Linked DNA regions of Diceros bicornis minor. The protein of the gene in region 1 purifies or fractionates together with the protein of each later gene. This does not show direct contact. Links are inferred from orthologs where the notes say so. Each region holds a gene or a part of one and is shown on either strand. Other genes may lie near its edges. The genes, in order: PLK1, FAM53C, ARHGAP5 and PPP6R2.

Region 1 (7,034 bases):
CAAGCCTATGCCCACCACCCACGCCCTCTGATGGCCTCCATCCACAGACCACAGACACCTCCTGCTGCCGGCCGTAACTCCCAGCCTAATTCCTGCCACCCAATGCTGCTTTCTAGACCAGGGGTTCTAAAATTTATCGTGTACAAGAATGAACCAGAGATATTTTGAAATCCAGATTGTGATCCAGTAGTCCGGGTCCCGAGATTCTGCATTTCTAACAAGTTCCCAGGGGATGATGCTGCTGGTCTGGGGACCACACTATGAGTAGCCCGGGGCTAGAGCAAGTTTGAGGAGACCTTCCCTCCCCCTTCCCCGGACCCATGGCCCAGGCTGCAGGAATCCTATAGGATAGGCCAGTGACAAGGAAAGAAATGGAAATTAGGCTTTATTTTTGGGCAGCCTGTCCTCTGGAGCAGCCTTTCCCTAGGCAGAAAGGTCCACAGGCTAAGGTCAGCCAGGTGAGATGTCCAAAAGGGCCGAGTGGGTCCTGAGACAACCCCCAACTTACATGATGCACCCAATGGACCACACGTCCACCTCGAAACTGTGCCCTTTCTTGCTCAGCACCTCAGGAGCTATGTAATTAGGAGTCCCACACAGGGTCTTCTTCCGCTCCCCGTCATATTCCACTTTGGTTGCCAGTCCAAAATCCCCTGAGACAGAGGAAGCAAGAGGGGGTATCAGATGCTAGCCTCTGTCATCTGTCAGTGCAGACATCTGGTTCAGGTCTGACCATCAAGAACCAGGGTCGCTTGAACCCTCAAGCCTCTATTCCTTGTGCACAGCAAGGCTTGCCCAGGAATCCCCCCACCATGCTGGCCCCAGGGAAGGGCCTCCCAGTGACCCTCCTCACCCCTGACCTTAGAAAGGAGGGCTAGGCTTCTAAAAGGGACTTGATGGGGATAGCAGAACTCAGACGCCTTCAGGGATCAAGCAAGTAAACTTCAAGACTGTTATCTGGCAAGTTTGTGAGGAAGTAATAGGGAGGAGTGGGGACTGTGGCAAACCAGAGGGAGTCTAAAGGGAACAGCTGCTTTTCAGCCCAGCAAAGAGCTGCCCTGAGGGAATGTTGGCCCTGTATTGCTGGAGCTTCCAGTTGTTTAAAAGGAACTCCAAATCCAAGGTTTTATGTCAAGACTAATTTAAAAAATGGAAACTAATTCAAATCCTTTTAAAAAAAATACCGTGTAGGGGCACAAAATCATGCATCTGCAGGCAAGATACTGGCTTGTGAGCTCTTTGTTTTAAATGTCCGCCCTACAGAGAGGACTCCAGAGGCAATCAACAGCTCAGACTTTCCACCACCCTCTACCTCCTCCGTCCTCTCCTTCCTATTTCCTCCCTCCCGGCCTCCTCCTCATTCCCACTTCTCCTAGTGGTGTCAAGCACCCGTGCAGGCCCAACACCTCACCTATTTTCACCTCCAGATCCTCGTTCAGGAAGAGGTTGCCCAGCTTGAGGTCCCGGTGAATAACCCGGTTGCGGTGCAGGTACTGGCAGCCAAGGACGATCTGCCGCAGGTAGTAGCGGGCCTCGGGCTCAGTCAGGGCTTTCCTCCGCTTGTGCAGCTCCAGGAGAGACTGGGCGGGGGAGGAGAGGAGGAATGCGGAGTCGGTACTGAGGCCCGAGGGGAGACGGGGTGTCATTAGGTAAAGACAGCTAGGACATTCCCCCAATTCCTTCTCCAGGACAACTGCGATCTGGGCCCTCCCCTAATCCTGGCCACCATCGTTCATAGCACCCCCTCTCCTACTAGCTCCCTCTCAAGCCCCTCACCTGGGACTCCTCTCCCAGCCCCACTCCGGAAGCTCAGCGTTCTCAATATCCCCTCCCCCGGCCTCTTGGCAGCAGCAGATCCCTTTCCCGACCCCTCTTCCCCGGAAGCTCCGAGGTCTGGCTCCAACCACCCTCTGCCTGACCCAACCCCACTCCGGAAGCTCCGGGTCCACAGCACCCCTTACCCGGGACTCCTCCCTTAGCAACTCCGGAAGCCCGGGGTCCATTACCAGGGTCCTACCCCGGCCCGCGCCGCCCCCACCCCCACCCCTCTGCCGCACACCTAGGGTCCAGGAGCCGCCTTCCCTAGCAGAAACAGGACTCGGGCTCCACTTAACCGGACCTCGCCTCCACCCTCCCCGCCCCCAGCAGCTCTGAGTGCCCAGCACCCTCTACCCGAGACCTTTTCCATCCCTAGCTCGAGGTTCCCAGCACCGCCACTCCAGCAGCTCCGGGCCCCGGGCGCCCCAACCCCGGCCCCCAGGCAGCTCCGGTCTCCCAGGAGCGACACTCACTCTCCGGCGGCAGAGCTCCAACACCACGAACACGAAGTCGCTGTCCTCGAAAAAGCCGTGGAAGCCCACGATGTGCTGGTGGGCGAGGCTGCGGTGAATGGATATCTCCATGGACATCTTCTCTTTCTGGTGTGGCTTGAGCAGCAGCGACTTAGGCACGATCTTGCCCGCGAACACATCCTTAGTGTCCGCGTCCGAGATCTCGAAGCACTTGGCAAAGCCGCCTTTCCCCAGAAAGCGTCCCCGCAGATAGCGCCGGCGACTGCGCGGGTCCACTAGGACCTCCGGGATCTCTTTCGCCGGCGGGGCGGCCGCCGGGGCCCCGGGAGCCGCAGCGCCGGGGACCCCGGCTTTCCCTGGGTCGGCTGGTGCCCGCGCCAGCTTCCCTGCAGTTGCCGCCGCACTCATGTTCCCCGAGTTGCTCCGCGGACCTAGTAGGGTCTGGGCAAATGCTTGGCACCGCTGCGCTCCTCCTCGAATTCAAACGCGGCGCCGGGAACGTTACAGGAGCCTGCGCGCCACTGATTGGCCGCGGGGATTTAAAATCCAAACCCGCCCGCCGCGCGGCACTATGGGAGCGCTCTACACCGCAGCCGCCTTTAAACCCGTTCCCAGCCGGGGAAAAACACTTGATTGACAGGCGCTCGCGGACGGCAGACACGTGGGATGCCTGGGAAACAGTACCCGGCGTGGGGAAGCCGAGCCCCAGGCCGAGGAGAGGAGACAACTTGCAGTTCACATGCACCGCCTCCAGGAAGCTTTTCCCAACACCTCCCTCCAGCCCCACCCCGCCTTCTGGAATATAAACTCGGAGAAGGGAGACCTGGTAGCGCCGAGAGCGAGCTTGGGAGAGCCTTAGCACCCGCCTCCGATGTCATCAGCTCTCTTCCAAGTCACTCCAATAAAGTAAAATCTAAGTAAAACCAGGATGCTTGCCGGGCAAATGCACCTGCACTGCAAGCCTGCTACTCCCCTCCTTCACATGACAGCTGCTCCTGAGCCTCTCTGGGTTGCAGAGCAACGCTGCTCAGAGGAGGTTCCAGGGACCACCAGCATCACCGCCACCTGGGAGCTTGTTAGAAAGGCGGAATTTCAGGCCTTACCGCAGACCTGCCCAGTCAGAATCTGCCTTTCCACGGGGCTGCCCAGGTGATTCCCACACACACGGCAGTTTGAGAAGCACAGTAGGAGAGCCCCCCACTATGCAAGAAAGTGAGTCGTCTGGCTTGCTCACTGCTGTATTCCCCAGTGCCTGAAAATGTGGACCCTCAATTGTTTGCTCAGAGGGAGGATGGCTAGGGGGCAGAATGCCTGGCAAAGGGGAAGTCCAGGGCCAAATCTGTCCTGCAGGGGTGTTTTGTCAGGCTTCCCACTTTTTAAAATTTGGATTCATTCACAACACTTAGAAATCAAGGGGGTTCACATAAAAATTCAGACTTGTAGCTTTTCCTGAAAAAACTAGAGGCTCTGGCAACTCTCCGCCTACATACCTCCCCAGTGTGCCTCAGGTCCCAGCTATCCCCTTTGCCCATTGCCTATCTGGCAAAATAGAAGCCCTTTCTCTGCGCCCCCATACGTCGCACCTTGTGATGTCTTTGATAGAGCCAGCAGAAACCAACCACACCGTAAAGGTCTCTACCTGCTTCCCAATAAACAGAGGCAAGGACATGTTTCCTCCCCACGTCCAAGCTCCCAGCGCAATGCCTGGTAAAAAGGGTTAATGAACATGTCTGCTGAATAAAAGGAAGTTGTTGTTTTTTTAACTACATTTGTATTTTTTATCCCTGTGGTGTGTAATCTTCTGTTTTATCTTTTTTTTTTTTTTTTTTTTGTGAGGAGATCAGCCCTGTGCTAACATCCACCAATCCTCCTCTTTTTTTGCTGAAGAGGACGGCCCTGGGCTAACATCCGTGCCCATCCTCCTCCACTTTATATGGGATGCCGCCACAGCATGGCTTGCCAAAGCAGTGCGTCGGTGCGCACCCGGGATCCGAACCAGCGAACCCCGGGCCGCCGCAGCGGAGCGCCGCACCCAACCGCTTGCGCCACCGGGCCGGCCCCTGTTTTATCTTTTTATCGAAGTTGAATCTGTGTACAGAAAAAGTGTACATACCATAATTGTAGAGCTCAGTGAATTTTCACAAACTGAACACACCCCGTGTCAGCGCACCCAGACTACCAACACCCCAGAAGTCCCCTTGTTCCCTGCGTGGGGGCCCAGTTCCATGATTCACTAGGAGACTCACAGGACTCAGCATCTAGTCCCACTCACGGCCAGCTAGGACGCATTACAGCTACAGGCTACGGAGCACAAGCACAGGGGGCAAAGGCGCATGGGGCCACGTCCAGAGGAAACCAGGCACAAGCTCCCAGAGTCCTCTCCCAGTGGACTCACACAGGACACCCTTCACTCCTCCAGCAATGAGTTGTGACCACACATGCAACATATTATCTACCAGGGAAGCTCATTAGAGACTCAGTGTCCAGGGTTTTCACTGGGGACTGGTCACACAGGCACCCTCTGCCAAGCACACAACCAAATTCCGGATTCCCAGAAGGAAAGCAGGTATTTGGCATAAACCACATTGTTTGCACAAACAGTTTAGGCACAGTGAGCCACGCTTATCATTCAGGGAATGGTGAGAACCCTCCCCAAATCCAAGCTTCCAGTCGCCAGCCAGGGGCCAACCTTGCAGACAGACCTTTCCAAGGAGAGCAGTCTCAGGCCTGCTTGATCACCTCTTCTCTGTACAGTCCACACCCCTGGCCCTTGGCTATGCTTCTTTACAGCAAATCACGATCAGTAGGACCCCACACAAAACGGTGAGACCAACCTGCAGTACTGATCTCAGTTACACCTGTTAGGGTCCTGGATTTAGCCAGCTACAATAAATCCCAATAACTATAGAAGTCTATCTTAGAAAGCCAAGTGGTCTCCTCCTCAGTTTCTGTATGACTCGTTTTCACCCAAGGCATCAATCAGGTACAGCACAGCTGCGGCCGGTACATTCAAGCTGACCTGAAACCTTCCAGGGCAGAGGCAGTGTGGCGACAGGGCACACAGACAGAAGTGCAATGCCAGAGGGTACACGTGGTTCCCCTGGAAATGAGTTTGCAGTGTTAGGGTACCCCAAGGGGGACATACACTAGTCAGGCAGTAGGGGTTAACAGGGCCCCCAGTGTAGCCTCCTACCATGGGGCCTCTTGCCCTCGAGTTTCCAGTCCAGTCCAAAAATCCATGCAATCCTTGGTTTCTGAGGGACTGCCTGAAGAGAGTTGATTCCAGAGAGATTTGCTTGTCCATGATACAAGTCTATCCACCTCATGAGGGTGCACAACACTTGAAGGAGTTCCGCATGGCAAGGGCAGGAGCTGGGCCCCCTCTGTTGTCACACAGTTAGAGCTGCCAGGTGCGATCCCAGGCTCCACACTCTGAACTCAAAAGCACTCCCAGCGCATGCTCCCAGAGGCAGCACTGGGCGTTTCCCCCAGGAAGAGGGGAAAGCTTCCAGGAAGAGTTCTGAAAAACAGATCATAAATGCCCCCCCTTCCCCAAGGCTCCCCAGGTGCCAAGTTTTTACTTTTTCTCCATTGATACAAAATCAGTGTGCCCCACTGATCAGCAATCCTAACTTGACACTTTTTCCATCACCTCTTACTCTCATCCAGGCCTTTCATCTGGAAGGGTTGTATGCAAGAGGCACAAAAGTATTTCTGTAGATAAACATTTTTATACAATGTAACCAGAAAGACACATTCAGGAATTGGTCAGGATGTGTTAAGGGCTGAATTGTGTTCCCCCAAAATTCATATGTTGAAGCCCTAACCCCCAGTACCTCAGACTGTGACTGTATTTGGAGACAGGGCTTTTAAAGAGGTGATTAAGGTAAAATGGGGTCGTTGGGGTGGGCCCTAATCCAATATGACTGGTGTCCTTATAAGAAGAGATTAGGACACAGACTACTCAGACGGAGGGGCGACCATCTGCAAGCCAGTGAGAGAGGCCCCAGGAGAAACCAACTCTGGTGACACCTTGATTGGACTTCTGGCCTCCAGAACTGTGAGAAAATAAATTTCTACTGTTTAAGCCACTCAGTCTGTGGTATTTCGTTATGGCAGCCCTAGCAGCCTAATAGAGGATGAAATTTTGAATTTTCAAACATTTCAAAATGGGTTTACAGAACCTCCTACCCTTTTTATCCAGAGAGCAGCTTAGAAAAGATCAAGCCCTCTCTAGAGACAGCTACATTTGAATAATCAACCTACCTTACCTTCGTGTCTGTGCTGGGGGAAATGTGAGGCGGCAGAGTCAGGCTATCAGCCCACTGTGGCAAGTTGCAATGAATCCAGAAAGCCAGACACAAGTCAACAGCGGTGAGATGTCCCCCAGAGAAGGCCCAGAAGGTCTGATTTGTCAAAAGCAGGCGGAGGGTCACAGTCCCTGTGACTGCCCTCCCCCAGCCTGCAGCTTTCCACGGGGATCACAAGTTAGGATGCAATTAGCCTCTGCATCAGAGATAAAGAGCTGATCAGTAGCTTGCTATCAGACGGTCCCATCAGAGAACAGGCCCTTTCCTGTGGACATTTGTATGTGACCCAGATGGTCCAGCCAGCATCCACGAGGTATGCTTCCATAATTGAGAGCTCCACAGAAGGGGTCCTAAATCTTCAGGGGTCCCAGGGTCTGAGTCCTGTTCATGGAGCCTGTCTCTGCTTTCAGTTCAGCACAGCTCCTGTGGAGGC
Region 2 (7,548 bases), on another chromosome or scaffold:
CCATTGGGACTTCCCTCTCCAGTCATGCCTGCTGAGTCTGCCAATTACAGAGGGACCAGCCCCAAGTGATATTAGAGATGTACCTGGTCCAGAGATGGAAAATGCATGGCATACATACCACAGCATCCCTATGCCAGGCCTCCGGCAGACATCATTAATTGATCACAGCTCTCTCCTGCTAAGCCTAAACATAGCTTCAGAAACATTCTGAACTTGGCACTCCAGATAACCACTAAAATGAACTGGAGTTGGCAAGCAAGTTGAAACCTATTTGCTGCTCCTAACCTGGTTCATGCTCTGCTCTGTCTACCCAGAATACCAGCACTTCAAAAACAGCTCAAATGAGAGAGAGGGATGCCCAAATGGTTACTTCTATCCTGATTAGCCCAATATTGTCTTTATCTTCCAGGCACAAGCAAACAGAGGTACCTTTTTCCTAAACTACAGAAATAGTAATAGGGAACAGGGAGGAGCAGTGGTTGTAGGAATGACTTTCAGCTTCAGACCAATCAGAGTAAACAAGGTTTTATGTTCTCTGTTAGCCTGAACAGTTGATATATTATTGTTTTCAAGAGATACTGTATATATTCTCTTAAAAATGGTGAGAGGATAAGGAAATGGTACCAGGGTAATTCCAGTTACATTTCAACTCCATAGATGTTAAAAACAACTCTATGACTTCACTCAACTAAGTTTTTAGCCTGATCTGACTCAAAGACCATGGATACAATTAATCAAGACTCTTTCTCACAGTCAATTACAGTAGAAGCAAACTACTTCTATCAGAGAACAGGCTTCAAGCCCACACAATTGCTTGAGGGGCCATGCTCAAGGGAGGAGGAGAGGTTAACCTAGTGTTTCGATATAGTATTGCCAATTCCCAGAAATTGGCAATGATCAGCAAGCAGACAGCTCACCAGAGAGTGTATGTAGCATTTGCTAGTAGAGAGAACAATCTATCAAGAAACCTAAATCTTGATCGGATTTGCTGTGACAGTTTTGTCAAATCATTTAACCTTTCTTGACCTGTTTACCCATATGTAGAATGGGCAGAATAATCTGTCACAGGGACAATAAAACATAAAATATCAAAATGTAAAAAGCATACCATCTGATCTGTACAAATCAGGAGTCCACACAAACTGCCATTTCTCAACCCTCCTGTTTGTTGCTCTACAAAGCCTCAGAATGCCACAAGTGATGCTATCATTAAGATGAAGAAGGCAGTCCAAGTTTATCTATTTGGCTAGATGCCCACCTCCCTGATCTGCATACCAAGAGAGACCCAAAAAGGCTCTTCTGTGACCTTGGGGGCAGATCACTTTCTACTTTTGCAAAAAGGAGGGATCATCTCTGCCCCATTCCCACCTCATGGGGAGGCAGGCCATAAGGAAGAGCAAAGAAATACACGTGGAGGTACTTGGAGTTTTTTTGAAAAAAGGTGTGAGAAAAGTCAATCATCATTACAGTTAACTACCATTGTCACGCATAATTATTATTACCACCCTGAACCAAGTTCCAGCTTCCTGAGAGCTCCCTTCAACTGCTTCCCCTATGTCCCTGTGGGAGAAGCTAAACCTTATATCACTTCTGCTCTTGGTTTCTTAACTCTGCCCTCAAAGAGCAACCAGAGAGGGAACCTAACTGCAGGCTTTTACCCCGGAGACCCTAGGCCTCAGGCTGACCAGCCATGAGCAGGGAGTGAAGCAAATTCTTTCAAGCTGTTCATGAGGCATTTGGCCAAACAGCAAACTCCCAGCTCTCTCTGGGATCAAGTGAAGAGAGTGATTTTGTATTTTTCTGCATTTTAATTGTTGGGATGTGGCCACACACGGTGGTAACTGGAACAATACAACTACCACCACACAACTCATACTCTCAGCCTGAGTTTCCTAAAACAGGCCAGGCTGAGAGGGGGAACAGAACGGAAGCCATAAGGAATCAAACCAGGACACAAAAGAAGGCAAACCAGCTCCGCGAGGGGCCTCCTCTTTCTCAGGCAAGCATAGAAAAAAGTGTAAGAAGCCCTCTCTTGCCGCCTTCCTTCCCCTTCCATTTTGTATATCTGAGGGGCAGAAACGGCCCTGAACATTCACTAAAAAGTTAAAACTTCTCAGCTCAACAACTGGCACCGGGCTCAGCCCTTCATAGAGCAGCAGGCCGCTAGGCCCTCCCCAAAACCCCACCAGGCCCAACTTTCAATCCAGGTTTTCTCTCCACCATTAGCCCCCTAAAATAAATATTGGGCTCCCACCCCATATCCTATTGGATGGCAGTAACTCCTGACATTCGGGTTTTAGGGATGCTGAGGCTGTGCTGAAAGCTGGAGAACCTAGGATCAAGTCAGGCCAAGGGGGAGGAGAGTCACAAATCCCCTGGGGACATTCCCCGCAGGTCCCAGCCCCACACCTCTGGGGGAGACTTAAGGAAAACATGAGGGAGGCAGGGAGGTGCAGGAACAGGTAAGTGGGGACCTGACTGCTCTTCCTCCATATGGCTCTGGCCGGGATAGGGGTGACAAGTGGGGAGCACTCCCTCCCCCCATCTCGATGAAGAAGCAAAAGGCTAGGCCCCCCTCCAATCTTCAACCTCACCCTCGGCTGCCCTGCCTGTCCCCGCGGGGTGGGGCATGGGGCGTCCGCTGGCCCCTGGGGCGGGGGGGGGGGGGCGGGCTAGGGCTCGCTCAATGAGGCTGTCGCTCGCCTCTTCCCAATCAGCTTTCATCATCTGGCCGCGGGAAGCGAACTCAGGACGCCGGCGATGAAGAGGGTCCGGGACTTAGCACTCCGCCACCCCCTCCCCCACCGGGTCCCGTGCTCTCCCCGCGGAGGCGGCCTGCGAGGCCGTGCCGCGCGGGCGGCCGGGCTGGGGGAGGGGAAAGGGGGAAGGAGGGAGGGACGGTTGAGGTGCCCGCCCCGAGGCCCCAGCGCCACCTGCCCTCCGCCACCTACCGCGGCTCCTCCAGCTCCCAGGGCCGCGGCCAGAGCAGCTCTGAGCGCTCCGTTCGCCCCACGGTGCCCTTAAAAGGCGCTGGCGCGAACCAACGGGCCCCTCAGGAGAGTGAGGCAGTCTCTCCGGTACACAGAATCCCCCCGAACCGCCCGCGGAGGCTCGAGCCCCGCGTCGTTTCTGTCTCAAAGTCTTTCTTGGATAGCGCTGTGGGGAACAAGCCCAGCTCTTTGATTTAGGGACGAGGGTGGTTTCCTCACTATCGAGTCACCCCCTCCAAAATATTGCAGAAGGTGGACGGGCCCAGTTGGAGACATGTCTCGAAACCCGCGGGGGGAGCCGTGTCGGACGAAGGTAAACAAAGCCATCGCCCCCGCCCTCCATTCCTACGTGGGCCAAAGTACAGCCCCCTGCTCGGTTCGGGTAGCATGATAGAATTAGCCAAGGTTCCTCTCACTGCTCTCCTGTCCCACCCTGTACGGCCGCCTCTCTAAAGGAATCCCCCTACCCCTAGCAGAGGACCTGTCCGCGGCGTGAAGGCTTCTGGGAAGTGTAGTCCAAGCGCCCATTAAGGCCTGCTCAGAGTCCCAGGAGCCCGTCTTCTAGCTGCCGGATCGGCTGGAACCTTATAAACGCAGGATTCATAACGGTTGCGGGGCCTTTCCCACTGGGTTCTGTAATTAGCCTTCACCCAAAACACTTTGTAAAGCTGAGGAGGGCCCAGGGCTGTTCACTCCTCCTCCCTCTACGCACCCCAACCCCCCTGCCCAGCAGGATGAGGTAATGGGATTGTGATTATGACATCATAGGCGGTTCAGTTGCTTGCGTGGGGGGGCGGGGCGGGAGGAATACGGTGGTTACAGCTGGACCTCTTTCGTTAAGACAGAAAGGGAGGGATGAAACAGGCAGATGGGGAAAAGATGTTGATGGCCCTATATTTCCTCTTCAGGAAGAAGAAACCACCTTTTATTAAATCTCCACTACTACCATCACCTCCCACCTCAGCCAGAGTTTAAGTCCTTTTTGAAGAGACTGAAGAAGTTAGTAGGTGAACAGGTTGGGGAACAGCTAGATGGTTTCTGGCTCTTATGTAAACTTGAGTCTCAGCTATCAAAGAAGGTTTAGAAAGACGGGCAAAAAGATGGAAAAAGGAGAGGTTTTAAACAATGCCTTCGTGTTGTGATCTCTTTGTAGGGCAGAGTTTTAGATTTCTTTTTTAATCGTTTGGAAAGTAGCAGTAATGCAAGTAATCTTCACTATTACACTTAGCAACAAGTCCCCTGAAAGACATCTGTTTTCCCTAAATATTTTGTTCCCCTTTCAAGTCTGGTACAGATAAGTAACTGATCAGCTAGAAAGTAGAGCCAGTGGTGGGAATCTTCCTCACAGAGCCAGGAGCCACCAAGTCTGCAAACTGAAAAAGAAGAGTAGAGGGAAAGTGAGGTAGTTATGAAGAAAATGGGGATGGAGGGAAGATGCACTGCACATTTCTTTGCCCTGCACATTGCCCTTTAGCAAAAGAAGGAGGGGGGGGGGGGCATGAAGTACAGGAGACATGGCTTCCAATAACTGCTGTTGTGGAGCATTTATGTGCCAGGCACCGTGCTACATACTTTAAATATATATGCTCATTTTTGCTTAGAATCATCAAATGAGACAAAATCTCCTTATTTGACAGATGAAATAGCTGGAGAGGTTAAGTGACTGCCCATGTGGTGGACAAAGGTAGTATTAAAAAGCAGTCTGAGGCTCTGAAAGACAAACACCGTATGATCTCACTCATATGTGGAATATAAACCAACACATGGACAGAGAAAACTGTATTGTGGTTACCAGGGGCAATGGGAGTAGGGGGTGGGCACAAGGGGTGAAGGGAGACATGTATATGGTGATCAACAAACAAAAATATACAACCAAAATTTCACAGGTATAAACTATTAAGACATCAATAAAATAAATTAAAAAAAAAACAGCAGTCAGGCTCTAAAGCTGTTGGTCTTCACTGCAAGGTGATCCCCCTTTTTATTATTAACCATGCCTACTAAAGTTAAATGATTGAGTATAAGAAGTTAGCATTGGCTTATTTGCAAAACATTGAAAGAAACTGAGACACTTAACCAAACCTGCAAGTCAGGTTTCAGGCCTCATTTCAAAGGAAGATTACACCCCTTTCACCAAGTATAAAATAGCCCCCAGTGCAGCCCAACCTCCTCCCCATTACTAACTATAATTAAATCTCCTTATGCCACTTTTAGTTCTCAAGGCTTTTCTTACTCATGTCCTAGCTATTTGTTCCTGCTGCCCCATTTTCCTTCTTTTGTTCTTGGGCTACTACCTTCCCCCCCCCCCCCCCGCAAAGCCCCAGTAGATAGTTGTATGTCATAGCTGCACATCCTTCTAGTTGCTGTATGTGGGACGCAGCCTCAGCATGGCCAGAGAAGTGGTGTGTCAGTGCACGCCCGGGATCCGAACCCGGGCCGCCAGCAGCGGAGCGCACGCACTTAACCGCTAAGCCGTGGGGCCGGCCCTTGGGCTACTACCTTGAACCACATCTTAATTGTGTCCTCATGGGCCAGACCCCGCTCTGATGCTGCTCCAATGGGTTTCAGCAGAGGACACTACCTGGGCTCCCTTCTGGTCTCCATCAAGATTCTCTGAGGGTTCCAGAGTCTGAAGCCAGTCATCCAGGAGGTCATCCAAAGGAGTGAAATCCATTTAAGAGACTCTCCATTCCCTGCCTAGGAAGGCAGCAGAGTCAGAGGAACACACACCTCCTTCAGACTCCCTTTTCAACCAGTGAAAGCTAAACGTCTGCAAAGTGGGGAGAGGTAGGGCTCAGTCCACCACTCACAGAAGGAACCAGGAATAATGCACACACCCCTCAGCCTCCCTCCCTGCAGAGGCTGGCTAGGGGGGTCCCAGGAATGTAGGGCTCTTCTCCACTGCCTGATCTGGGCATCCCAAGAGCAACAGCTGTACCTCCTGTTCTTGTTTGGCATTTGAGGGTGAAGTCCTGGCTGTCACTGTGCTCTGGCAATGACAAATATGTGTTAGACTGAGGTCAAGGTGAAGGGGCACAACACACTGCTTCATCACAATGAATCAGGAGACTCGTTAGGGAATTCCTTGAGAATGAGGTAGGATCAATGCCATCAATCCAACAGAAAAACCAAATCTTCAGATCATATTAAACACCAAACTTCCTAATTCCCTAATATTCTTTCTTCTGGGAAGGATAAATTAGATATTCCAACTCCCTCAGAAGTCAAGATAGATATATAAGACAGTATTTGATATCCCTTTAAAATGCATTCTACCTTTTCATATATTTAGTTTGAAGGTATGCATGTAAACTTACATGTAATTAGGCAAATATGTTGCAGTTAGCCAAGTCAGCTGGCGGCGTGAGATAAAAATGGTTAGAAGGAAAAAACTTCATTAGCAAACATGGATAAAGCTTTAAAAAGTCTTAAGGGCCAAGTATATGGCTTCTTCTATTTGAAAAAATCTTGGAAACTTATTTTGGGGGCTAAATTGCAGGAGAATTAGTTTTATTATTTTTTTGTGAGGAAGATCAGCCCTAAGCTAGCATCCATGCTAATCCTCCTCTTTTTGCTAAGGAAGACCAGCTCTGAGCTAACATCTATTGCCAATCCTCCTCCTTTTTTTCCCCATAGCCCCAGTAGATAGTTGTATGTCATAGTTGCACATCCTTCTAGTTGCTGTATGTGGCACGTGGCCTCAGCATGGCCGGAGAAGCGGTGCGTCGGTGCGCGCCCGGGACCCGAACCTGGGCTGCCAGTAGTGGAGCGTGTACACTTAACCGCTAAGCCACACGGCCGGCCCAGCAGGATAATTCGTATTAGTAATGCTGCAACTTTGTGAGAGCACTCAGATTCTAGTATCTTTCCATCACCTGACATTGAACCAAAGCTGCTTGGTTGATGCTCTTGTTGTGACCACTCACAACTGCACTCACTTGAGGACCTGCTGCAGAAAGCACTGGTAACCAGGTGTCCACTTGCCATAATCTATCTGCTTTTGCCGCCGTTGTAGGACGATTTCATCTGTCTCTACCTCCCACCTGCAAGGAAGTATACAGTGACCCCATGGAGTGTGATTATAATCATCAAAACAGAAGCCAACTCATCCCACACTCCCTTAATCCCCAGCCTGATTTTCGAACTCACCTGGCATGGCAGGGATCTGTGCTGATTCCCACATTCACCATCTCTATCCCAGAGGACAAAGATTCTTCACACCCCTTCTTTCTCAGGAAGCAAATTCCACAGATGAAAAGGGTAAAACCCAGCTGACTACACTGCACCTCTCAGCCACTACCACCACCAAGATCCTGACACCAAATAAAGGTTGTATTTCTGATTTTCTGTTTCTCAAAGATAAAGGTTGCACTTCTAATTTGTTTCTTAAAATTTGATCTGCAAGCCATCTGCATGAGTAGCCCCTGGGGGCCTTGATAATTCCTAGGCCCCACTCTAGACCCGTTGAATCATAATTTTGAGGGTCTGCATTTTAAAGAGCTTCCAAGGTTATTTTAAACATTTTTTATTACAGAAAATTTCAAATATACAGAGAAGT
Region 3 (7,277 bases), on another chromosome or scaffold:
AAAACTAAATTCCCCTGGTGTACTTAAGGTATTTTACAAACATCTTTTAGGAACAAAGACTCTACTAAAACAGAACACTACACGATGCTTCTTAAGTCAATTACATTATTTCCATATCTTCTTGGTGTACAAAGAAAAAATCATGGATCTTACAGCCCAAATAAATAGTTTTTAAAATGTCATCTATGGAAACTGAAGTAGTGACAATTAAATCTTATTCTGTAGCTACCAAGAAAATCTCTATCACGCCATTTCATATTTAAGAAGTCAATACTAAAAGCAACACTTAAGTCTTGCTAACGTTGAAAAAGTGAAAGTTTAGTACAGTCTTCATGAGACATAACTTTTTCTTCAATTTAAAAAAGTGAGTTACAAAACTAGTATTCTAAGCTATATCACAACCTCAATTCCAAAAAAGGAATGCAAATACAGTATTTTATTCCCTAAAAAAATCTTAACTTTCAAGGTCAAAATAATTTATTTTCTCCAAAAGAGTAAATGTACTAAATCTACCACTCAGAAAAAAAAGGAATAGGCAGGAAGGATGGTTTCAAAATATTTAGATAAATACCATGTAACAGAGTTAAGATACTAATTTTGCATTTTTTTAAAATTGCTAAACTAATTTAAATGGGGGGTGTGCTAAAAACTAATAAACATATCATAATTCTGTGACAATTCTTTCTTATATCAAAGTGTAACCCACCCCATTCCCCAATGCTCTTATAATTAATGAACAAAGAATGGTAAAATAAGACACGCTGAGGGGGGGTTAAAAAACATAGCCTACACGTGACAACCAAATCAACTGTTAGCTAGTCCTCTGTATCGTTCTAATTTCTGCTTTACCTCAATCAGATCAATAGTGCTATTTCCTGAAAGTTAAATGCATAGATACACTCAGCTTTTCAATCATGTATGTTTAGTCATAAAGTACTCCAAGGCCTACTCAAATTGTTGGTGACCAGCACTCATTCACTCTCTTCCTCTGCTCTACTATAGGTACAAGAAATGTGGGTCAATTACAAAGAACAGATGAAAGAGCCAAAAACGAGAAGGCAACTTAAAATGGAAAACCTTAATCTAGAAACTGTCTAGTAGGTTACCGATATGGTCAGTATGTATATCTAAAAATACTAAATAAGAATAGAGTTTTATCATATTAAAGTAAAATAAACTGGAATTGACAGTAAAGCATCTCCAAACACATTTTACTAATATATCTTATTTGACCAAATATTTTTCAGAATAGTTGCATCTACATCAAATTTTTGTTAACCAGTTTAAATGACGACTTAGAGAAATATTCCCTGAAGTGAATGAGATTCTCAATGCAAAGAAACACCCTCCACTACCCTGTTCAAACCGAACGTTGGTTTTGGATTTGTTTTAAGCGGAGCCTGCATAAGCCCCCCACCCCTCCCGGGCCCAACACCTGTAGAAGGCAGCATAAGCAAAGACTAGTAAATACAGCGACGTATTTCACTGTTTTACACCTGAACATTTTTTCTGAATGATATCGTTTCCTCCCTATCGCAAAAGAAAAAGCAAATCATCTTTGGAAATTTAAACTTAAAAACGCGCGTACACACCATCTGCGTGCCTATTTTGGTCTACATTTAAAACATTTAAATTCCCATTTATTAAGCATGGGCCCAAGCTGGATTTCTATCATATGGTAAAAGTCTAAGCGTCTCCCCTGCAACTTTCTCGGAATTTTACTAAACGTCCTCCTCGCTCGCCCTGACTTCCGAGCACCTTCCAGCCTCGACTACACCCGGAGCCTCCACCTCCCCTGCATTTCTAATAACGCCGGGGAGGGCGGGGGCGAGGGAGTGAGTGGATTTGTGTGGATAAGTGCGCGCGCGCTCCCGCGCCGTTCCCCACCCCCACCCCCACCCCCACCCCGATACTTTTCTTTAGTGGAAACAGGGAGAACCTAGAGGTTATTCCAGCGAAAACTCCATATCAAAGCCCCAGCCCAGGCGCAGGCCGCCGACAGGACTCCGCGTCGGGGTTGCGCAGTGCAACTTCTCACCCCTACCCGAGCTGCAGCGGCAGATGGGAAACTGAAGGGAACGAGGGAGGCGCGGGGCAACGGGGGGAGAGTGAAAGGGCCGATCCGCCGAAAGGCGCTTAAGTTTGCAACCCAGATCGTGTTTCCGCGGGGAGGCGCCCACCCCTTCTCCCCCCGCCAGGTGGAACTCGTTAACGGCGGCCACCCGGCCAACGGACACCGCCACCGTCCTTCCCCACGTACCGCCCGCCACCAGGGCGAGAGCGGTCCCGGCCGCCAGGCCTCCGCCGCCCCCGACCCCGTCACCTGTGGGGAGAGCGCCCTCTCCCCGGCCTCTCTGCCCTTCACGCCGACCGTGTCCCCCGCGGCCGCCGCTGCCCGCCCGGCCTGCGAGGACGGAGCGCGGCGCCAGGCTCCCCCGGCGGCGGCGGCGGGGCCCCAGCCCTGAACTGGTTACAACCGGCGGCGGCGCCCGAGCGGGGCGGCGGGAGGGTCCCCAGCGGGGAGGGGGCGGGCGGGCAGGCCCCGAGGAGCTGCGGGCGCACGGTCCTACCTAACACCGCCGGTCTCCTCCGTCTCCTCCTCAACGGCAGCGGCCCCGGTGGTGGCGGTGGCGGCGGCAGCGACATTCCTGGGGAGCGCTCCCGCCGCCGCCGCCTCCTCCTCCACTCTCGGCTCGCCTCTTCCCCGGCGCGCTCACCGAGCGCCGCGTCCCTTCGGCCACCTCCCCCCGCCCTCCCCGACACACACGCCCCGAAACCTCAAGCCCTACGGCTCCCGCGGCCGGGTCACCCAACCTCCCCCCTCCCTCCCCACCACCAGCGGTGGCCCCGACCCTCCCCCCCTTCCCCAGCGCCCGCCGCCGCGCCGGGCTCAGTAATGGCGGCCACTCGGGCTCCCTCGGCTGACGGATCTCTCTCCCTCTCTCCCGAACTTTACCTCAGCATCTCTCCCGGCGCGCACCGCCGGGACGCACGCGCGCGCGCAGCCACACACCCGGCCGGGGGCGGAGCGGCGGGGCAGTCTCGACGGGGGCGCGCGCGCGCGCGCCCGCGCCGCCCTCCCCACAATCCCCCGCCCCCGCCGCCCTCACCTCGCGACGCCTCCCGCGCCGCGCGCCCGGCTGGGCCCCGCCCCTGCCCTCGTCTCCCGGGAGCCTGGGAAGGCGCGAGCGCCCGAGCCGGAGGGAGGGGAGCGAGCGCGCGGGCCCGCGGTCTCGCAGTCGGGCCGCCTCACCGATTGGCTTCTGCCCCTCCCCCTTCTTCCTCCGCCTCTCCCACCCATTGGTTCCCTCTCCTACTCCAGTCCTTCTCACCTTTTCCCTTTTACCCATTGGCGTGAGTATTTTTCCTCAGCTTTCTCCTTTCTCCGTGGTCTGCTCCTCCTCCGTCCCATCCTCCACGCCTTAGAGGCTGCAGACCGTGCAGCCCAGAGCACGGCCGTCTGCGAGCATTCCCTGATTTCTCCCTCTCCTTCGGTTCCGGTTTCTGGCCGTAACTGAGAGCAAACCACAAAACTGCAAAGGAACCTGATATGTATTGTGTTAGGCGTTGCGAAACATCGCAGGGGCACTCACTGATTCTCGAAAAATCACCCCACGGTCTCAGCGTTAAAGAATTCAAGGGAGGAAACCATGCGCCCAAGCTCGTTCGCAGGGACATGCTCGCGTGTGTGCTCCGGTGTGTGCGGCCAGTGTCCTGCGTGGGGATGCTCGCCAGCCACAGGCATCACCCGCCCGGGAGCCGGAGCCATGCGCACCCAGAAGGCAAAACTCCATGGGAGCAAGAAGAATCCATTTCTCCGTCGACACCACGCAGGGACGCAGGCAGGCCCTGGTTTATCCGTTCTTAGGGAAGTTGAACGAGATGCCAAGACTTGGGGAGGGTTTTAGGGTGACCCCAAAGACCCCTGCTCACACCACTACCAGCCCAACCTGAGGAACCACCAGCCACCTGGTTTTTATTATGCGGCTTTAAATATATTGAGTATTTTTTGAGCCTTCTAGAAATCTCACAAGTTTGGGGGTACCCTGGGCTTTCCGTGTATTTCTTGTCTGGGCATTGGCATTGATGAGCAAGAAAGGACAGTAGAAAAATGCCTTTCCTTTTACCATTGAAGAAACTGAGGTCTTGTGACTTTCCCAAGGTCATCAGAATCTGTCTTACACAGATGTCTTAAAATAGTTGCCAGCAGATGAAAGAATGGGCAAAAACATAAATCTACCCCCATTCGTTGCTAAGTCTAAAAGGAGGAAGTAATTTGAGGGAGAATTTCTCTTCCCGGCAAGGTTTGTTGCCTGCATTGAAAACAGTTCGTCATCAGTAAAGTTAACATATAAAAAGTCTTTGAAATTCAAGTTATTCTTTATTTCGTATGTTACATAAGGTAATGATATTAGCCAAGGTTGCTTTTTAGTGTTATAATGATGCAGCTGCTGCCAACCAGAAGTACAGTTACAGTCTGTTAGTAAAGAAGAACAAAAACTGCCTTTTGGTAAAAATCCGTTGGAAAATATTTGTCAGTAAATCTGTTACAATATTCCAGCAGAAGTTCTGTTTGTTTGTTCCACACCCCTACTCTCTACTCTCCATATTTCTCAAAGGTAAACTTAATAGAAGCAGAAGAGACATGATTAATTTCTCTATATGTCTTACTCCCTAATTTTAAAAAGGCATGACTAAAATTCCTTACTCCAGCCACTCTCTTGCATCTGAATGGTACCAAATACTGTATAGGTTGAGTAACATCTGTAGGTGCATCTTTCTTTCACTTACAAACCATAGGCAAAGAAGGACTCTAAGAAAACTTGCAATGATAGTAAATATAGAGGGGAGGAAAGGAAAAAAGGAGAGGAGGAAATTGGGGAGAGGGGTGGAACCATCAAAGTGTGGTCATAAAGTCATAAGTACCTATATCGCTTGTATAGGTTGGAGAGTTCATGCATTTAAATGAACTTCTTGACCTTTGTACTAAAAGTCCTTAAAAATACAAGCAGCCAATTCAGTCATAACTTTAGGGTGTCTACCCTAAAGATACTTTAAAAATTATTTCCTAAATAATCAGAAATTTCATAACCATGAGCATGCATCAACATAAACCAAAGTCAAATAAATCAGGACTTTTAAAGGACACATTAACATCTGAAGAACGTGTCATCTTTAAAACAGGACGTGATATTGAAGAATCAAGACACGATACTACTTGGAGTCTCATTTTCTCATAATAAAGACAACAGAAAATGTAAAAAAAAAAAAAAGCCACAGTTTTCAAATGATAATTTTCATAGCTGACGTTATTTTTAGCCCGCCTACATCATCTATCTTGATTTAAGGGGTCTAGAACCTTAGGACTTTGCTCTTTGTTAATATGAATAGTCTAAAGCTGCTTACCAGTACAAATAAGTTAACAAATTTTTATCATTTTTTGTTACTTGCTCTTCTCAAAAAATCATACAGTTTTCTGTACAAATAAAAATCTGAAAATGGGAATTGGGGGCCAAATGCTCAGATGGTTGAAAATGCTCTGATATCTACAAATAAGAAGCAATAAAGAGGGGCCAGCCCGGTGGCACAAGCGGTTAAGTGGGGGCGCTCTGCTGCGGCGGCCCGGCACCGATGCACCGCTTGTCAAGCCATGCTGTGGCGGCGTCCCATATAAAGTGGAGGAAGATGGGCATGAATGTTAGCCCAGGGCCAGTCTTCCTCAGCAAAAAAGAGGAGGATTGGCGTGGATGTTAGCTCAGGGCCAATCTTCCTCACAAAAAAAGCAATAAAGAGCAGAAAATAAAACAAAACCCAAAGCATAAGATGGCATTTTTAACAATTGATCGGGAGCCATGCCTTCAAAGAAACAGCTTTAAACACCCACCCTCCCTACCCAAAAGAAGAAATTTTGAGAAAATAAGTAATTTATTCTTTACATGCACACGCGCGCGCGCACACACACGAGAGATGGAGTAAATATTACCAAGCCCTCTCAGATCAACTACTCTTCTTATCTAAAATAAAAAATTTAAGCACTTTTTCTGCTGTACTGGATAATTAAAATCACCCGAAGCTTTGTTCTTCATTTACTTTGAAAAAAATAGCAGAATAAAATTTCAGTCAGGCATTTTAGGTTTTTAATTTAAATATTCTCTACAAACTTCTAGTTCTTTAACACGTCCTAATAAAGTATTAATATGCATGGTCTTTTTAGGGTCAAAAGAGAGGATAGCCACAAAAAATGTTATCAAAATTCCAGCTTCTACCATCAGTCGTTAACACTACAATATTCAGATGTTTGATGTGATTTGGCTTCAAAAGAACTTACCCTATAGAAGCGGCTACACCCCCTGCTGGAAATCTCTGATCATAACCACTTTGGCTTTTGTAGCCTCAACCAAGAACATATGAAAAGCCAAACAAAGGGCCTTTCAATTAAGGAGAAAATTGACCAATACTTTTTGCCCATCTGATATAAGGCAGACTTTTGGAGAACAAACTACCTCAGAATATCACCTTGATTGCAGACAAAATACACAAAGAAGTTGAGGAATAATGAAGGCAAATAACTAAATGACCAAAGCACAAAAAGATTATTTATTGTCTAATTTCCTATTGAATTTCACAACTCATTTCCACCCCCACCTAACCCCCACCTCCTGCCTAGACTTGCCTCTTTCTCCCAATCTCATACAGTTAGGCCTATTGGGAGGAGGGAAGGCAGAGTGAGATGGGTTGTTACTCCCACTTGTAGGCAAATCATGATGCACTAATAACCATGGTAGCCATTTGCTGAGTTAGGGTGCTGAAAAGCTTTCTCCAAATGTGTTTTATGGCTACCAATGATATTTTCAGCATGAAGAAAAAGTGCTAATTATGTCTTGGCTGTTACTGTAGAAAATATTTTGACAAGAGTGAAGGTAATTGTGAGCATGGGACTGGAGCAGTAGGATAGTAATGCATTGACCTTCCTGGCATTTTGTTCCACAGAGCCTTGTTCTGTTGATTTTCCAGAACTGTATTTTCAGACTGAAATCCCAAAGATGCTATCAGAGTCTAGCTTCAAAATGTCATGTTCATGCCGCTCTGGTCCTAGGACACTATTAAAATAGTGAAAGCAGAACTCTTCTATTTTTGAATAATTAGTATTTTATAAAGATTATTTGTAATGCAGACTCCTTTTAAAGGAATAACAATTCATTCAGGTCCCACCAGCACAAATACTTTAATTAGACAAAAATCTTCAAGTTATTTCCTCTCACAAAAGGAGGTATTGT
Region 4 (7,447 bases), on another chromosome or scaffold:
GTGCTGTCCCCTCAGCCTGGAAGGCTCTGACCCCTCATTCTTCTCATAGCTAGCTGCTTCTTGCCCTCCAGAGCTCAGCTAACATGAGAGTTAGAAGAACCAAAAGGGAAGAGAAATCAGAAAGGAAGGGACATGGAGAAGAGGTGAAAGGCTGAGAGTGTCAGTGATGGTCCAGGCACTAAAAGGCCAAGGGCGTGGCAGGGAGAAGCCATGGGGGAAGTGACTGGCAAGGTGAGAGTAACAGGCTAGAGAAGGCCACAAGGACAAGGCAGGTGGGTACAGTGACAAAATGGGGGAGGGGGGGCGGTGAGAGGCAGGAACTAAGCGCAAGTGACAGACTGGGTGAGCTGGTGGTGAGAGGACAGGGGATCTGTGGCAAATGGTAGTGGTCAGTAACAAGTGGGTGGACAAGGCAGGTAGGCTGCAAGGACACAAAGGTGGCAGGTGGGGGTGTGCGGAAGACGTCACAGCGACAGGTGGGGGGCATTCAAAGGGGCCAAGAAGGTGCACGGGGGAAGGTGACAGAATGGGGATAGGAACAGCAGTCAGTGAGTGGACAAGGGAGTGATGGCAGGAGGCCCTGCGGAGGGAGTGTCCTACACCCCACCGGCAGGAGCCGGCAGCACTGACGGGTGGGACAGAGCACTGACGGGTGGGTCAGAGCACTGACGGGTGGGTCAGAGCACTGACGGGCAGGGCCCCTAACAGACAGGGGTGAGGGAGGAGGCAGCGAGGAGGGGGATGGTGACACTGACAGGCTAGGGAGGACTGATGGGGGACCTCGACGGGCAAGGGGGGGGAACCGATGGGTGGACAGACAGGGTGGACAACGACATGGGGACCTGGCAGCACAGGGGGGAGGAGGGACATTAACAGGGAGGGCACTGAGAGTGAGGGTTACTGACAGAGAGGAGGGAGGACTGGACAGGGAGGAGGGGCACTGACACATGTGACACTGATAGGAAGGACGGCACTTAGGGGGTCACTAATGTGGGAAACACTTGACTGGGAGGAGGTGGGGGAGGGGGTGGACACTACCTTGGGGGACACGGGGGCAGCACTAACACGTGGGACACGGATGGGGTGGACATTGATGGGGCGGACACTGCCTTGGGGGGACAGGGGGGCAGCACTAACACGTGGGACACTGAGGAGGAGGGCACTGATGGGGCGGACGCTGATGGGGGGGCACTGAGGGGGCGGACACTAACGGGGAGGGTACTGAGGGGGTGGACACGGACAGGGGGCCACTGACGGGGCGGACACTGACGGAGGCACACTGACGGGGCGGACACTGACAGGGGGGCACTGACGGGGCAGACACTGACAAGGGGGCACTGAGGGGGTGGACACGGACGAGGGGGCACTGACGGGGCGGACAATGACGGGGGGACACAGACGGGGCGGACACTGACGGGGAGGGTACTGAGGGGGTGGACACGGACGAGAGGGCACTGACGAGGTGGACACTGATGGGGGGACAATGACGGGGCGGAGACTGACGGGGGGGCACTGACGGGGCAGACACTGACAAGGGGGCACTGAGGGGGTGGACACGGACGAGGGGGCACTGACGGGGCGGACAATGACGGGGGGACACAGATGGGGCGGACACAGACGGGGCGGACACTGACGGGGAGGGTACTGAGGGGGTGGACACGGACGAGAGGGCACTGACAGGGTGGACACTGATGGGGGGACAATGACGGGGCGGACACTGACGGGGGGGCACTGACGGGGCAGACACTGACGGGGGGCACTGATGGGGCGGACACTGACAGGGGGCACTGACGGGGTGGACACAGACGGGTGGGCGCTGAGGGGGTGGACAGGGATGGGGGGGCGCTGACGGCATGGACACTAACGGGGGGCGCTGACGGGGCAGAGCGCTGATGGGGTGGACACGGACGGGGGGGCGCTGACAAGGCGGAGCGGTGACGGGGTGGACACTGACGGGGGGGCGCTGATGGCATGGACACTGACAGGGGATGGACACTGAGGGGAAGGGGGCACTGACAGGGTGGGCACTGATGGGGTGGACACTGGTGGGGGGTGGACACAGAGGGGGTGTGGACACTGGTGAGGGGTGGACACAGAGTGGGGGTGGACACTGGTGAGGGGTGGACATTGGTGGGGGTGGACACTGAGTGGGGTGGACACTGGTGGGGGGTGGACACAGAGGGAGATGGGCACTGGTGGGGGTGGATGCTGGTGGGGGGGGTGGGCACTGAGGGAGTGGGCACTGAAGGGGTGGGCACTGAGGGGGGTGGACACTGAGGAAGGGTGGACACTGAGGGGGCGGGCACTGACGGGTGGGGGCACTGACAGAGGGCAGACACTGAGCAGGGGTGGACACTGGTGGCTGGTGGACACTGAGGGTGCTGGGCACTGGTGGGGGCAGACACCGGTGGGGGTGGACACTGGTGGGGGTGGACACTGATAAGGGGCGGACACTCGTGGGTGGTGGGCACTGACGGGGGAGTGGACACTGGTGGGGGTGGACACTCGTGGGGGTTGGACACTGAGGGGCAGTGGGCACGGGGAGTGGACGCTGGGGGGGGCAGACACTCGTGGGGGTGGACACTGATGGGGAAGTGGACACTGGTGGGGGGTGGACACTCGTGGGGGTTGGACACTGAGGGGGAGTGGGCACTGGGGAGGTGGACACTGAGGGGGAGTGGGCACTGCGGGGGGTGGACACTGGTGGGGGGCGGATACTGAGTTGGGGCGGACTCTGGTGGGGGGCGGACACTAAGGGGGTGGGCACTGAGGGGGGCACTGACGGAGGGGTGGGCTCTGGGGTGCACACTCCGGGGGCACCGACAGGCGCGGGCACGGTTTGAGGAGCCGCGGCGGGCGGCCTCACTCACCTGCCCCGCGGGCCCGGCGACGCGGCGGCTCCTCGGAGGCCCCGGTGGGGGCCAGGGCGCTGGCGGAGGCGAAGCCCGGGCGGCCTGGGGCGCCCCGCACGCACATGGGCCCGGCCGGGCGCGGCGCCCACGGACACGGCGCGGGCCGGCCGGCAGCTCGAGATCAGCTAGGGCCGCGGGCGGCGCTCGGGTCTCTCCAAAATGGCGGCGGCGGCCGGGCGCACGCGCGTGGGGGGCGGGGCATCGCGGGGGCGCGCTCGTTCGCGGGGGGCGCGGGGGCGCGCGCTCACGTGGACGCGCCCGGCGGCGGGAGCGCGAGGGCGTGGGCCGCCGGAGGGCGGAGTGGGGCGCGGTGTGGTTTTGTCCCTCTCCTTTTCCGTCTGAGGTGTTGCTGAGTTTCTACACAAGCGTAATTAACTTTCTGTAGGATGATGCGTTTGCAGTAGTAAAGTTTCCAATGCTACGTCAGTCACAGAACGGCCCCTCCAGAGACCCGAAAGGATTTGAGGATGCCACACCGGGGCAGGGGTCTCCCGGTTCTCTGGGGCCTTCCTCTCCGCCTGAAGACCCTCCCCCTGGCGCAGCTGGGTGTCTCCGAAGCTACTTGGGCTCGCGGCGTGGACACGGTGGGCAAGAGTGAACAGTGGTCAGCCCCCGTGTGCCAAGCGGAGGTCCCCCTCCACTCCTGCTTCCTAACTGGCCTGGGGGCGCCTGAGCAGCAGCCCCCAGACTTGTGTTTTCCAGGTGCCCCGCAGGTTCTTGCAGTGTTTTGCACATTAAAATATGTGCCCATTTAACATTTGTTGGAATTGTTTAATTCAATCAAACTAATCTCTAAAATGAGAATTATTTCAGGTGTCAGCGTGAACCGTGGGAAAATGTTGGAAAGAGAAGTCGAGCACTTAAGAAATACCTAATACTTGTGCTAGGTAGCAACTTGTTGCCTCTCAGCTGCCGGTGCACCGCGGCGCTCTGCGAAAACGGGTCTGGGCTCGCCTGTGCTCAACTGTGTCGGTAGGGGGCGCAGGAGAGGCGTCGCGGGAGGAAGGGTGTGTTCCGGGCCTCGCTCTGCAGTTTGCCCGTCTTCCTTCCCTGCATCCAGCTCCTGCAGCTTCCCCAGCTCTCCCTTGGGCAGCTTTATAGCAGAATGTCTCTGGTGAGGCATCTCTCCCTAAACACCTTTCCCTGGTATGCTGCAAGGCAGATTTCTGGCAAGTTCTATAGTGTGAACTTCCAGGAAGTGGTGGTAAAAAAGCATCAGCCTTAAACCGAGAAGAGGAATGTCCTGCAAGCCCTGCAATCGAAGGCCCCTCCCCACAGAAGCTGGGGGTGCCGTGGTTGAGCTGCAGAATGGGGGCTCAGGGCCAGGGGTCCTGTGCGGGAGATGTTCCCACTGGTTGTGCCGCTGTGTGAGCGCCTGCAACCCTCTGCCTGATCTTGATGCTCTTCCTGTGCTCCGGCCAGAGTGCCTGGGGTCAGCTGGGGCCCCACTCCTCCTCTCATCCCCCACACTGGATTCATCAGCAAGTCCCTCCACTTCTAAATATAGCCAGCTCTCCACCACCGCGCCCTGATCCAAGACCAGTTTCTCTCACCTGACACAACAGCAGCCTCCCAACGGGGCTCCCTGCTTCTACCCTGGCTACTTGCTGTAGGCCAGCTTGCTGTAACCAGCATAGCACCCAGAGGGATCCAGTGGAAAAAAGTTGGATCACATCCCTCCCCCAGGGCTCCCGTCTCACACAGCGCAAAGCCAAAGTCCTTGCTACTACTTACAAGGTCCCATGTGATCTGATCTCATTTCCCCTCCTCTGTCCCTTGTTTGTTGGCTCCAGTCATGATAACCTTGTCACAAGCCACTTGCCCATGCTGTCCCTGCGTCTGTCATGCTCTTCCTCTAGTTATGGCCGCACTTACTGACCTGCCTCCTGAATCTTACTCCACTGCCCCCTTCTCAGTGAGAGCTTCCTGGCCTCCCTATTTCAAATCTGAAGCCTACATTCATGCATGCACACACACACGTGTGCATGCACATGTGCAAACATGCATGCACACATGCAAACTTCATAGTCCCCTTCCCTGCTTGGTTTTTCCTTGTTGTATCAATAATCATGGTCCAATAAGGGGATAGAAACCACACAATGTCTTCAACAGAGGAATTTTCATATAGAAATTATTGAGAACAAGGGATTAATTGTAAAGGAGTAAAGAGAACTCTAGATTCAAGAAAGGACAAAAGTTGGAAGGTGGTCCCCTCCCCAAGGTGGGAGTTCATTCTGTGTTGGAGAGTTGTGTGGCTGCAGCCCAGCGGTCGACATAGACATTCTCTGGGGTGTCCCAGGACACAGCTGATCCATAGTCCCTGAGCAGAGACTAATGGGCAGGAATACACCCCTCCAAGGTGCATGCTGGCTAAGCCTGGAAAACTTCCTGCTGAAGTGTCTGCAAGACTCACTGGGAATCCACCCATGGGGGTGCTGCTGAAACTCAGTGAGAAACCATCCAGAGAGGTGGCACCGCTGCATGTCTTCCACATGTGACTCTGACAGCTGTGCAGTAGGAACAAGAAGAGAAAGGATGCACATCGAAACCAGAAGTCCCTTCTTCCAGCAGTGACCCTCCGGCACTCTGTACTGGCAAAGCTTAACATTGTGCCAACTGCAAAAGAGAAATGCTTACAGGATCCAGCTCCATTATCACAGTGCAGGTAAAGAGAAGTGGATTTGGATCTGAGGCAATCAGTGGAAAACAGGCAGAGTTTGACTCTCTGGGTAGTCAGCTTCTGTACGCATCCTTTCAAACATATTTGAACTTCCATACTATAAGAAAACAATGCTATATTTTCACCTAACACGATACATCCATCCTTATTGCAAGTGAAGAAATTCTCACTCTTTCCCCAAAGGCAGCATATTCACAGTCCCATCAGTCATTGAATCTATCATTGGCTACATTAATTACCCCTCAAATTCTGTCACTGTTCCACTGAATATTCTCTTATGCTCTTATGTTAAAACTAAATAGGAAAGTTAACCTCTGACAACTTGTATATTTAAAAAAAATGGAAAGCAGAGAGAAGAAAATGGTGCATATATACAAATAAACACACACTATAACATGCAAAGAGAAAATGCGCAAAACTGCTACAACCTATGTTTCTGTAATTGGTCACAAGATGTAGTTGATACATGTGGCTTTTTAACAGATTTCTCTTCTAAACTCTCTTCTAGTGTACACAGAACAGTTAGAACAAGCTGAATTCAGTATTTCTGACACAGAAGGACTAAGTAAAATAAATTCTATCACTAAGAACCCCAAATGCAAAATTATTGACCAATAAATTGGAAAAAGTGAAACTGTGATGTAAAATGAGTGCTGCCTCTGGAGTGCCGTCAGAGCAGGAGGAACTGTGGCTCTGTCCTGGTCTTCTCAAGAACCCCACAGTGCAGCAAGACACAGGACAGGGCATCCAAAGACCACCACTCTGTGAACCCAAGTAGGACAAACACAGAGAAATCCACACCCATAGACACCATAACCACAGCGCAGCGTGTCAGAGACAGAAAGAAAACCACAAAAGTAGCAGGAGAAAAATGACCCATCACATAAAGGGGACAATGGTACAATTAATAGCTGACGTCTCATCAAGACAATGGAGTCCATAAGGCAGTAAAATGGCTGAAGGAAAAATAAAACCTGTCAATGAAAACTTCTACACCCAGCAATACTATCCTTCAAAAATGAAGGTGAGATAAAAATATTCCCAGATAAACAAAACAGAAGATTCATTGCCAGCAGATCTGCCTTGCCACAAATACTAAAGAGATTTCTTCAAGCTGAAATGAAATCACATCAGATGTTCACTCAAATCAACAGGAATGAATGAAGAACCATATTCAGCAACATGTAAAAAGGATCATCTATTGAGACCAATGGGGTTTATCCCAGGAATGCAAAGTTTTTTTAGCATCCAAAACAGAATTAATGTAATACACTATATTAATAGAGTAGAGGATAAAAACCACTGGATTTGTCTGATAGTTGCAGAAAAGGCATGTGGCTAAATTTAATACCTATTTATGATAAGTACTCTCAATAAAGTAGGAAAAGATGGGAAATTCCTCAATTTCATAAAAGATATCTAGGAAAAATCTATACTAACATTGAACTTAATGGTGAAAGATTTAATGCTTTTCCACAAAGATGTGAACGAGGCAAGGATGTCTGCTTTCACCATTTCAATTCTACATTGTAGAATTCCACATGTAAGGAGCTTGGGCATCACCACTCCATCCTAAGAACTAAAATGCTGAACAGATTGAAAAATCAGCAACTGTTCTTGGATTTGTAAGAGAAGAGAGGACACTGGGCAAACCACTGCTCCCAAGATTGGAGAAACAAACAGGTGGATACAAGTCACCAGGCTTACCAAGCAAAGATTCACAGGCAGGAACTGCCAGGGGAACCTGTGCCAGCTGGGTTCCCTGAACTGTATTTGATGAATTTCTGGAGGCTCAGAGTGCGCAATGCTGAGAGTGAAAAACTCTGGGGTGACCCAGTCATAAGGACCCCCCACA

Evidence for each region.
Region 2: the proteins of PLK1 (region 1) and FAM53C purify together in Homo sapiens (affinity purification with mass spectrometry; 3 studies listed by BioGRID and IntAct, counting the BioPlex papers as one, with this or other methods). This does not show direct contact. The link is inferred for Diceros bicornis minor from reciprocal best matches to the Homo sapiens genes PLK1 and FAM53C.
Region 3: the proteins of PLK1 (region 1) and ARHGAP5 purify together in Homo sapiens (affinity purification with mass spectrometry; 3 studies listed by BioGRID and IntAct, counting the BioPlex papers as one, with this or other methods). This does not show direct contact. The link is inferred for Diceros bicornis minor from reciprocal best matches to the Homo sapiens genes PLK1 and ARHGAP5.
Region 4: the proteins of PLK1 (region 1) and PPP6R2 purify together in Homo sapiens (affinity purification with mass spectrometry; 7 studies listed by BioGRID and IntAct, counting the BioPlex papers as one, with this or other methods). This does not show direct contact. The link is inferred for Diceros bicornis minor from reciprocal best matches to the Homo sapiens genes PLK1 and PPP6R2.

What each region holds. Positions count from the first base shown.
Region 1 is NC_080765.1:28,067,788-28,074,821, forward strand, and holds the start of PLK1 (serine/threonine-protein kinase PLK1), read right to left. Parts: upstream 3,004-7,034; 5' UTR 2,700-3,003; coding exon 2,292-2,699; intron 1,581-2,291; coding exon 1,412-1,580; intron 654-1,411; coding exon 509-653; intron 1-508. UniProt on the Homo sapiens protein: Serine/threonine-protein kinase that performs several important functions throughout M phase of the cell cycle, including the regulation of centrosome maturation and spindle assembly, the removal of cohesins from chromosome arms, the inactivation of anaphase-promoting complex/cyclosome (APC/C) inhibitors, and the regulation of mitotic exit and cytokinesis.
Region 2 is NC_080740.1:56,907,268-56,914,815, reverse strand, and holds the start of FAM53C (protein FAM53C), read right to left. Parts: upstream 3,010-7,548; 5' UTR 2,952-3,009; intron 2,567-2,951; exon of another isoform or gene 38-2,566; 5' UTR 1-37.
Region 3 is NC_080744.1:16,893,158-16,900,434, forward strand, and holds the start of ARHGAP5 (rho GTPase-activating protein 5), read right to left. Parts: upstream 3,018-7,277; 5' UTR 2,957-3,017; intron 2,659-2,956; exon of another isoform or gene 2,571-2,658; intron 1-2,570. UniProt on the Homo sapiens protein: GTPase-activating protein for Rho family members.
Region 4 is NC_080764.1:452,132-459,578, forward strand, and holds the start of PPP6R2 (serine/threonine-protein phosphatase 6 regulatory subunit 2), read right to left. Parts: upstream 3,006-7,447; 5' UTR 2,871-3,005; intron 1-2,870. UniProt on the Homo sapiens protein: Regulatory subunit of protein phosphatase 6 (PP6). May function as a scaffolding PP6 subunit. Involved in the PP6-mediated dephosphorylation of NFKBIE opposing its degradation in response to TNF-alpha.